Caenorhabditis elegans: one gene and its partner. The protein of the gene in region 1 purifies or fractionates together with the protein of each later gene. This does not show direct contact. Each region holds a gene or a part of one and is shown on either strand. Other genes may lie near its edges. The genes, in order: gsto-1 and aco-1.

Region 1 (4,165 bases):
CTAATACTTTGAATTCATCAACACGTCCTTCAACTTCATCACGCAGAGAATTAATATCTCTAACAATATGACTAATTGAGAAAAGAGATGAAAGAACTCCAAGAAGACAAATTGAAGCACCAATATAACCAATAGTCGACATGATTTTGAATCAGAATTCGCTGATTCCAAATGGAATTCAAATTCAGATAAATGCAATTACCCTCACATATCCTTTTTATACTCATTCTCTCGTAAACGCCCTTTGGCGGCGGCAAAAACTCGCCGAAAAACTTGATCCGATCGAAGAAAAAACCGAAAAAAAATTCGAATTGTTGTGTTGTTCGTCAGTTGGATGGAATGATGATGAAGGAAGTTGATTAATGGATATGACTGATGATTAGTGGTGGAATATGGAATAATTATTTATTTGATTTATTCTGATTATTCTGAATTAGAATGTATTTTCATATTTCAGGAAAAATGATTTTATTTCGAAACGAACTTGTTCTAGATTAAAAAAATTGAAATTTAATATTTAGTGCTATACAATTACAGTACCCCATGGAAATACACAAATATCATAAATACAAGAATTATCTTCCTGGAAGTTAAACTTATATTTTCGATGTAAGTGAAAAAGTTTAAAAGAGAAATGATGTTTGTTGATCTTCCTGTAAGTGGAAACTGGAGAATTCATAAGCTTAAAAATTCCAAAATATTAAAACTTGCGTGTTTTTTCTGAAAATCGATTAAAACAGCAATATTCAGCATGTTTCCAGAGCCAAAAAAACCTGCAAGCATGGGATACTTTTGCAGTTAAAAAATGTTTCAGGAACTTGAATGAAGTTAGGATGCATTTGAACAGAGTAATGAAATTATATGAAATTCATATGTAGACTCTCCTACTCAGTTGTTTGTATGTGAGTTTTGTATATTATAACTTATTTTGAAATTATCTTTAATTACTTGTAATGTTTTTTGTATGAGTTAAATAATAATCTTTTGAAAATTCTTTTTCAAATAACCATTTTCTGTTTAAAAAAACAGTGAGCCCAATATAAACTTGTTTTCCATCAAACCGAGCTTCTACCAAAGTTAACTTAAATTCCATAATTTTCACAAACCATTCATAGTTTGTCTACGTAGCCTTATCCTTTTTTGAACATTGAAAAAGTGAGGAGAAAGTGCGAAAAACGAGTTTTTTTCTTTCTCTTCTTCTTGGTCGTCACGTCAAGACACTCTGAACGTTGGAATGGGAAAAGCATCGAAGATCGAAAAATTCTGATTTTTTCTAAAGTACACAACTTATATTGATATTGCATTGGGATTTAAAAAAGCTCTACTCGAACATTTTGATTAATTTTAATATCTCATTTATTCATCTTTCGATAACAGATATATCACATTGTTCGGTAGGATAAAAGGGCTAAAATCAAGTTTTGAGGAATGTTCATTTGTTTGGAAGGTGATATTATAGTCTGCGATAACTACATAAGTTTGGAAACCGAACACATGTTTTTTTGGCACTTTGCTAAAAAGTTGTCTGAAAACGTTGGAAATCAATATTTGGTCATTTATTTAGGTCATTTTCGGACCATTATAAGTGTTTTCTAATACAAAACTGGCGCTGCTCCGCTATTTAAAAGACTGAAAGTGACATAAATGATCTAATTTCCAGATCTCTTATAACTTTTTTTATAGCGGTTCCACTCCTAATTTGATGTGTTTACTTGTTGCATCAGATCATTTTTCACTTCTTGTAATTCTTATCAGTTTTCTATATTTTCTTTCTTATCAATTTTTCAGCTTTTCAACATTTTCCAGTTAGTTATTCAATTTTTATTCCGCACGATCACTGCTGTTTGAATTCAAATATTGGAGTATTAAAATTATACATTTATAACCATTCTAATGTCTACCTTCTACACAAATTACCCTTCCTAGTAGAAAATATATTTTTGGCTTGAAATTTGTTCTGTACTGTCCAAATGTATTTTTCTGTAGAAAAATTCAAAATGTAGATGTTTATAGATGGTTTTAACCGGAGTAACATCAAAAGCAATTCGAAAAGGAGATGCGGAACCTCCGCTATCAAAGGGATCTTTTCGTGTCTACAACATGAGATTCTGTCCATGGGCTGAAAGAGCAATGCTTTATGTTGCAGCTAAAGGAATTGAGTGAGTAGTTTATTTATTTTATTAGTTTCTAAAATAGACATATGAAAAGTACTTTTTTAAGAAAAAAACCATTGAATTTTCAGAGCGGAGGTAGTCAATCTCAACGTAACTGACAAACTTGAATGGTACTGGACAAAACATTATCAGGGAAAGGCTCCAGCAGTAGAGCACAATGGAAAAGTGGTCATTGAGTCTGGATTTATTCCTGAATATTTGGATGATGCATTTCCAGAAACTCGTATTCTTCCAACTGACCCGTACGAAAAGGTGCAACAAAAGCTGCTAGCGGACAGGTTAACTGCGGTTTGGTTTTATTTTGTTTTTCAAAAGAAATAAAAAGTGTTATATATAAAAACAATAAACATGGTTTAAGACTAATGCAATGGCAATTATTTACCATTAGTTTCCTTCTATCCTAATTTTGGAAGTCGTCCAAAAAATGATTGTTTTATACGAGTTCTAAATTTCACTTTCCGAAATGCTCGAAATTACTAAAAGCACATTATTCGAAATTTGCCAATTTACCAGAACTTTAACTAAAACTTTTAAAATAAAAAAAAAGATCTGCACGTCTCTACAGTTGTTTTGAAGGCGCAGCGATACCAATACCTTTAAAAATGGAAGGAAACATACATAGTTTCTAATCCCCTTTTTGAACTTCCTCTAATATAAAAAATCAGTTATTCGCTCCGCCCATTTTTCAACCAATCAGATGAGTGTTTGGAGTCCAAAACTCTGATTGGTTTGAGAGTGGGCGTGGCTATTCATTTTGGAGGAAATTCAAATATGATCTTGAATTTTTCTATTTTCTAAACTATTTTGTTTTAAATAAGCAATTCAGGTAGCCCATGCAGTTCCATTGCTCTTCGCCGTCATGCGAGACCGAACTTTGAAAGATGAAAAGCAGCGAAAAGTTTTTGAAGTTTTGAAACAAGCTGAAAATCTCTTGGCCAATGATTTTTATGCTGGTGAGTTCAATTAATCGATACAATTTTTTGACCAAATTCAAACTATTCAGGATCTCAACCAGGTTATCCAGACTACTTATCATTTCCATTTTTTGAGAAAATTTGGTGGTCAGCTAGTTTGGATGGAGTTGTCGATTTACCAACAATTGAATTCCCAGGAGAAGAAGAATATCCTAAATTGACAAAATGGTTCCAGAAAATGATTTCTTCAGATGTTGTTCAATCCGTCACCCAATCTTTGGAACATGGCGCTGCATTCATGAACGCATATGCCACGCACCAGGAATTGAATTATGATTTGGGCCTTTGATATTAAAACCAGTCGATTTATTTTTAAGATTGAATAAAAAATGAAGGACGTAATTAAAAAACAATCAAAGAAATAGTGGTAATTCGTCGGAAAAAAAGTTATTGTACAGTCAGTAAAGTACCATAACGAACAGAAGAAAAATACTTGGCATCTAGAAGTTAATTAATTGATACAGTAAAATGAAAGTATAGCCAGAAATCGAGATACAAGTAGAGACAATGAGGAATGTTTAAATAAATTAAGATGGTTTTCGGGAGATTTAATGCAAAAAAAACAATAATTATAAATTAGGCATCAAGAGCGCCAGCCTCCTTGAACATTTCACAATGCATATCTCTTTTGAGTAGTGTGATTTTCATCGAGTTGATTCTTTCCTCGAGTGGCAGTTCCATGTCCTCGCTGACCATGACATTTCCGACATTACACATAAAGAGGCACGAAAGGAAGTATCGACTGATTTCGTACCATGGACGATCCATAACCAAATCTAGTAAACGTTTCGTGCCACCTTCAATATCGTATTGGCCAATGACAGCACGACCAACTGCGTGAACCTGAAAATTATTATAATTGAGAAATTCAAACATTTAGACATTTTGACTTTTCAAATTACTGTGGTTGACCAGAATATTAAAGGTGGAGTAGCGCCAGTGGGGAAATTGTTAAAAACCACTCCTTTGGTTCCAAAATGACCAAATATCATGATAAAACTTTTGAAAATTTTTTTA
Region 2 (6,049 bases), on another chromosome or scaffold:
TCAATTATTACAGTCTTCATTCATTTCTCTGGCAAAGAACGTAAAGTTATGCAAAATTTACTTATTTTGAAATAAAAATATCTTTTGCGCTGGCAAGGGTCTCATATTACTTTAGTGATGTTAGCTATAGGGCAACTGAGATTTTATTGGGTGAGTGTGCACTTTTAAATGGGACTGAATAGTACGAATGAACTGCTGAAATGTTAGTCTATAAAAAGTCAGTTCAGTACAAATAAATACCGTAATCTCTCTGTTCATTTTGTTCAAACAACTAGAATGTTTGAGCTTTTACACCCAATTTTGTTGTTCTCAATGAAGATGTTTTCTTATTTATTTATACTCTTATGACTGAGAGAACAAAAAATACAATTAGTGATGACGACCTTTAAGAAAAAGTTGCAAAATGTTATATCCTAAACACTGTCAAACTGGAAGCACATTTCTTTCTCCTATAAATAGTAGAAATACGTTATTTGTTGAGTTTTAGTAAAATATTACGAATTTAAGTGGTTTTAGCAAAACAGAGACGCCAAAACTAAAATAAATTTGACCATCCACATGTTTTATAGCCCAATTATAAAAAGTATTGATTTATTTCGTTGCTCCAAATCACAAATTTATTGGACTTCAAACATGTTCATAAAATATCACAGAAAATAGAGAAGGATTGATGCATCGAAAAGTAAATAGTTATCTAAAAATAGAAAAAATTGACTTTCAAAAATTTAAGCTAAAATAACAGTTTATTGGATCAACTTTCTGATCATGTATTGGAGGATTCCTCCGTTGCGGTAATAGGTGAGTTCGACTTCAGTGTCAAATCTACAGATGACTTGGAAAACTGAACCATTGGATACATTCACATCAATGAGCTGTCCTGGCTTCAAATCGTCTGGAACTCCAATTGAGAATTGTTCTTTTCCAGTAAGTCCGAGACTATCAGCGTTTTGACCAGCTTGATATTGGAATGGAATAATGCCCATTCCAATCAGGTTGGAACGATGAATTCTTTCGAAGCTTTCAGCGATAACAGCCTTGACTCCTTGGAGGAATGGCCCCTTTGCAGCCCAATCGCGAGATGAGCCACATCCATATTCTTTTCCAGCAAGAATGATGGCTGGAATTCCGGCATCCTTGTACTTTTGAGCAGCGTCAAAGATGTCGAGCTCTTCTCCAGATGGCACATGGAGTGTAATAGGACCAACCTTCGACGCAAGCTTATTAACAAGACGAATGTTGGCGAATGTTCCACGAGCCATGATCTGAAATTTAAAAAAAAACGTGATGTGTTGTTAAATTCAAAGTTTTTAGAAAATCATATATTGAATGAATAAACTCTTACCTCATCGTTACCACGGCGAGCTCCATAAGTGTTGAAATCTCTTGGCGTTACTCCACGTCCAGCAAGGAATCTGGCGGCGGGAGAGGTCTTCGAGATTGATCCAGCTGGAGAAATATGATCAGTGGTTACCGAGTCACCGAGATTCAACAAAACGTGTGCGTTTACAATATCGGATTGTGATGGAAGCTCGCTAGTCATTCCATCAAAGAATGGAACCTTCTTGATGTAAGTAGAGGCATCGTCCCATGGGTAAAGCTTGACAGCCGGGCACTCCAATTGTTGCCACTCCGTGGATCCAAGCTCAATGTTAGCGTACACCTCGCGGAAGAATTGTGGCTTCACGAATTCCTCCTCAAACTTGGCAACTTCTTTTCTGGTTGGCCAAATGTCGGCTAGTCGGATTTCCTTTCCGTCAGGAGTAACAGCAAGAACTCCGTTAATGTCAACATTGACGTTTCCGATGATCGAGTAAAGAACAGCCAAAGGTGGAGATGCCAAATAGTTAGCACGAACATGTGGGTGAATTCTTCCTTCAAAGTTTCTATTTCCAGAGAGAACTCCGGCAACGACAAGGTTATTCTGAATAAACAATTATTTTGAAAAGAAAACAGTAGTTTCAACAATACCTCTTCGATGGCCTTTGTTACTGGCTCATCAAGTGGCCCAGAGTTTCCGATGCATGTCATGCAACCATATCCAGCAATATTAAATCCAATCTTCTCAAGGTATGGAAGAAGACCAGATGCTTCCAGGTATTTTGTGACGACTCCTGATCCTGGAGAGAGGGATGTTTTCACATATGGTTGGACATTCAATCCCAACTCAACAGCCTTCTTGGCAACCAATCCAGCTGCGAGCATGACACTTGGGTTACTGGTGTTTGTGCAGGATGTGATGGCAGCAATAACTACGGATCTGGAAGAAACATTATTTTTTGCATGTACTTCTAATTTATAGTCTTACCCGTGAGTAAGCTCTGCGGTTCTTCCGTGGTTGGTAATTGTGACAGATTTAGTGGCATCTTCTGGTTTAAGGCCAAAAGCTTTGAAGGAGATCTTATCAGTGAGCCCTTTGGAGAAATCTTGAGCCAGAGAAGCAAGCTCAACTCTGTCATGTGGACGCTTAGGTCCGGAGACACTTGGCACTACACTTCCAAGGTCCAATTTCAAAGTGGTAGTGTATGTTGGGCGGTAGGAGTCATCGGTGAAATTGACGAACATGCCAACAGACTTGAGGTATTGTTCCACGCGTTGAGTATAATCGGTATCACGTCCGGTTTGAGTGAGGTAGTCAATGGTACGGCTATCGACTGGGAAGAATCCAATTGTTGCTCCATATTCGGGGCACATGTTAGCAATTGTTGCACGATCGGCGATGGAGAGCGATGCAACTCCAGTTCCAAAGAACTCAACAAACTTTCCAACAACTCCGAGATCACGAAGGTTCTTTGTGATTGTAAGAACCAAGTCGGTACTGGTAACGGTATCACTGAGAGTTCCAACCAATTCGTATCCAATAACTTCTGGAATAACCATGGAAATTGGCTGTCCGAGCATCACAGCTTCAGCTTCAATTCCTCCAACACCCCATCCAAGAACACCACTTCCATCAATCATTGTGGTGTGGGAGTCGGTTCCAACGACGGAGTCAGGGTAGAGAACGCCATCCTTTCCAACAAACACTGTTCTGGCAAGATATTCAAGATTAACCTGATGGACGATTCCAGATCCTGGCGGTACAATAAGAAGATTGTCGAAAGCTTTGGATCCCCACTGAAAATAATTTGATAATACAATTTCATTTAAGCTATCTGAATATTTGTGTGTTCATTGAACAAAGTAGTGATAAGGGCAATCAAATGCATAGCGTGATTTTCCGAAAAGTGATGGGGAGAGTAAAACGTGACAGTGAAACTCTGAAAGTGGCATTTTCACCTTTCCTTACCTTCAAAAAGTTGAAGCGTTCTCTGTTTCGCTCAAACTCAATGGACTGATTCTTGGCAAGGGCTTCAAGGCTGAAAAAAATACAATAAATGTATAAACCAGGTTGCGCAGAACGTACTTTCCGTAGTGATCGACTTGCACGGAGTGATCGATGACAAGGTCAACTGGGCATACTGGGTTGATCTTGGCCGGGTCAGCACCCATATTTTGAACGGCGTCACGCATAGCGGCAAGATCTACGACGGCTGGAACTCCACTGAAAATTGCTTGATGTACATAAATTTGGTAATTTATTTTCAAGCTCACGTAAAATCTTGGAGAATAACGCGTGCTGGTTTGAAAGGAATCTCAGCTTGGTTACGCTGGCTGTTTTTCCAATCAAGAATGGTTTCCACGTCCTTCTTCAATACATGGAACTCATCGCAATGACGAACTGCGGCTTCCAACAAGTACTTGATGGAGATTGGAAGCTCGTCTGAAAATTTTGGGAAGGTTTTTAAAGAAAATGATTTATATATGACTTTAACATAATGAATTTATTCTTGCTCGTCGAAATTCGCTGTTTTTTTTTTCGTTTACAAAAGTTCCAAAATTGAATATATGCAGATATATTTTAGATAGATTGAGAATAGGATGTAAAATAGTTATACTTACTGTAACGAGCATCATTGAGACCATTCAAGTCAAAGTATTTGTAGACGTTATCTCCGATAGCCAAGTTGCGGATAAGGTTGTTGAAAGCCATATCTGGAAAGTTAGATATGGAAAAAATTTAAAAAAAAAAGGATTTCGATAGAAAAGAACGACAAAAGTGCATTGTAATGAAAAAGAGAATGCGAGGAAAACTAATGGAGGCGTGCCGAATCGGTGTAGTCGACCTGTCCGTTTTTGTGTGTGTCTGAGCGCGCTTAGTGTGTGTGGCTGTATTGAATGTGAGAGCGTTTTGTGTATGTTGTGTATGTGTGTGTGTGTGCCAAGGTCGGTCGAAGATAGTCATCTTTCATATCAGCTAGGACGAAATTGCGTCGTTGTCCAGTGTTTCTAGAAGGCTAATGTCGAGAAAAAAGGCGGCGAGAAAAAACGATACCATCTCAGAACTCAAGAAACAGTCAAAAAAGGTAAATGTGCACAGTGAAATAGTGTGCGGTGGGAAGAGAAGAAGAGGGCCGATCTGCATACACGTTGCGTACTTGACCCAAGAGGTTACGACAATGTTGCAGTGTGGTTTTTTTGAGAATTGAAACAATGCGCTCTCAGACATATTGAGAGATAAAAAGAAAATTCAGAGATTTGTGTCCGATATTTTTTATCTTTTGTTATCATTGATATCAGATCATTTAAAAAAGATTATCAAGTGGGAGAACTTTGCACAGATTGATGGTGAGGTGGAAATTCCTTTGGGAAACTGAAGAGCAAAAATTCGTTTTATTTTTCAAAAAAAAAAACATTTGAAAAAATGCAATCGAATCCATGCTATAACTAAACTAATACACTAGAATCTAGAATCACTAGAATCTGTAGTTCACAAAATTCATAGAGTACGGAATTTCTGTTAGCGTGACTAAAATTTACTAAGTTAAAAAAACAGAAGATGTTTGAGCACAAGCTGGTTGGTTTTTTGATTGATATTTTTGTTTCATATGTCTCTGTTCTTCATGATAATTTACTATATATAATATAAAGCGCTTATTCTGTGTGTCCATAGTTTGTAGTCTATGTAGTCTTTGTAGTCTGTGAAGTTTTGACTTCTGGAGGGATAGTGAGTTGGGGTTAGTGTAGGGATATAGTCGGGGTACTGTAGTGGTACAATAGTGGTACGGTAGGAATACTGTAGGGTTACGGTAGTTTCATAAAAATTGATTTTCAGCCCTAGAAGTCGGGGGCCGCGCCGAAGGTGCGGACCACGGCTGGTTCATAATATTACAATTACCGTTTTTCATAGTTTACCGCGTATCATTGTATAACCATGTTTTATTCAGAAAGACTTTGCATATATATTTTTATTTGATCCCAAGTTGAGATTCATAGAAACGTATTTTATTAAAATTGGTCTCACAATCATTCCCCGTATTACCTCTAGTAGCCTTTTAAGTTGTAAAAAGCAAGACAAGTGCTAACATGTGTAAACGTTTTGAACAAGTCTAGGTTTATTTTTTCAGGAATTGAAGAATTATCTGAAAATTCTACAAGGTACGCCTTGTCTTGTCCCGAATTATTGAAATACTGATTGAAGTTCTAATATTAGGATGACTCTTAGAAATGCAAGAAAATTACACACTGTATAACTAATAGGGAGTACACTTGGTAAATGAATAACACTGTTAAAAATTCTGAAAACTACCAAAAAAAAAACTCGGCTTGTTTTTTTAAAAGTATTTTCGTGTGTTTCGATGATGTTGCATTAGACAGTGTCATAGTTCTACGCTGAGATCCTATTAATGTATTCACAACAACCTAGTCATCAGTGTACATCAGAAAAACGTAGGATTCGACGCTTGTTGTGACACACACTTGCCTTCTTTCCATTAAACCCCATCTATCCACTTCCGATGGGCCCTTCCGGCATGATAAGAAGTGAGTGGCTACATAAGACTTCACACCTCCTTCGGAGATTCATCAATCCAACTACTCCGAATTTTTTACATTTTACTTCTACATATATTGGAATTCGTTCCATCAACACATTCCTGTAAAAAATATATAAGAATTGTTACTGTTTGCGGGATAAATGCCCCTCATATGAGATGATAAATGCGTTTATATT

Evidence for each region.
Region 2: the proteins of gsto-1 (region 1) and aco-1 fractionate together in Caenorhabditis elegans (co-fractionation; one large-scale study listed by BioGRID). This does not show direct contact.

The regions. Positions count from the first base shown.
Region 1 is NC_003281.10:7,944,867-7,949,031, reverse strand, and holds gsto-1 (Glutathione transferase omega-1), read left to right. Parts: upstream 1-2,013; coding exon 2,014-2,159; intron 2,160-2,242; coding exon 2,243-2,462; intron 2,463-3,000; coding exon 3,001-3,127; intron 3,128-3,177; coding exon 3,178-3,437; 3' UTR 3,438-3,490; downstream 3,491-4,165. Other genes in the region: col-90 (Putative cuticle collagen 90), read right to left, coding at 1-142; Condensin-2 complex subunit kle-2, read right to left, coding at 3,725-3,991. UniProt on the Caenorhabditis elegans protein: Exhibits glutathione-dependent thiol transferase activity. Has dehydroascorbate reductase activity and may contribute to the recycling of ascorbic acid. Participates in the biotransformation of inorganic arsenic and reduces monomethylarsonic acid (MMA).
Region 2 is NC_003284.9:11,337,857-11,343,905, reverse strand, and holds aco-1 (Cytoplasmic aconitate hydratase), read right to left. Parts: upstream 4,033-6,049; 5' UTR 4,031-4,032; coding exon 3,940-4,030; intron 3,761-3,939; coding exon 3,592-3,760; intron 3,542-3,591; coding exon 3,404-3,541; intron 3,357-3,403; coding exon 3,287-3,356; intron 3,115-3,286; coding exon 2,306-3,114; intron 2,258-2,305; coding exon 1,969-2,257; intron 1,922-1,968; coding exon 1,343-1,921; intron 1,263-1,342; coding exon 744-1,262; 3' UTR 579-743; downstream 1-578. Other genes in the region: Receptor-type guanylate cyclase gcy-9, read left to right, coding at 6,037-6,049. UniProt on the Caenorhabditis elegans protein: Catalyzes the isomerization of citrate to isocitrate via cis-aconitate. Has probably no RNA-binding activity.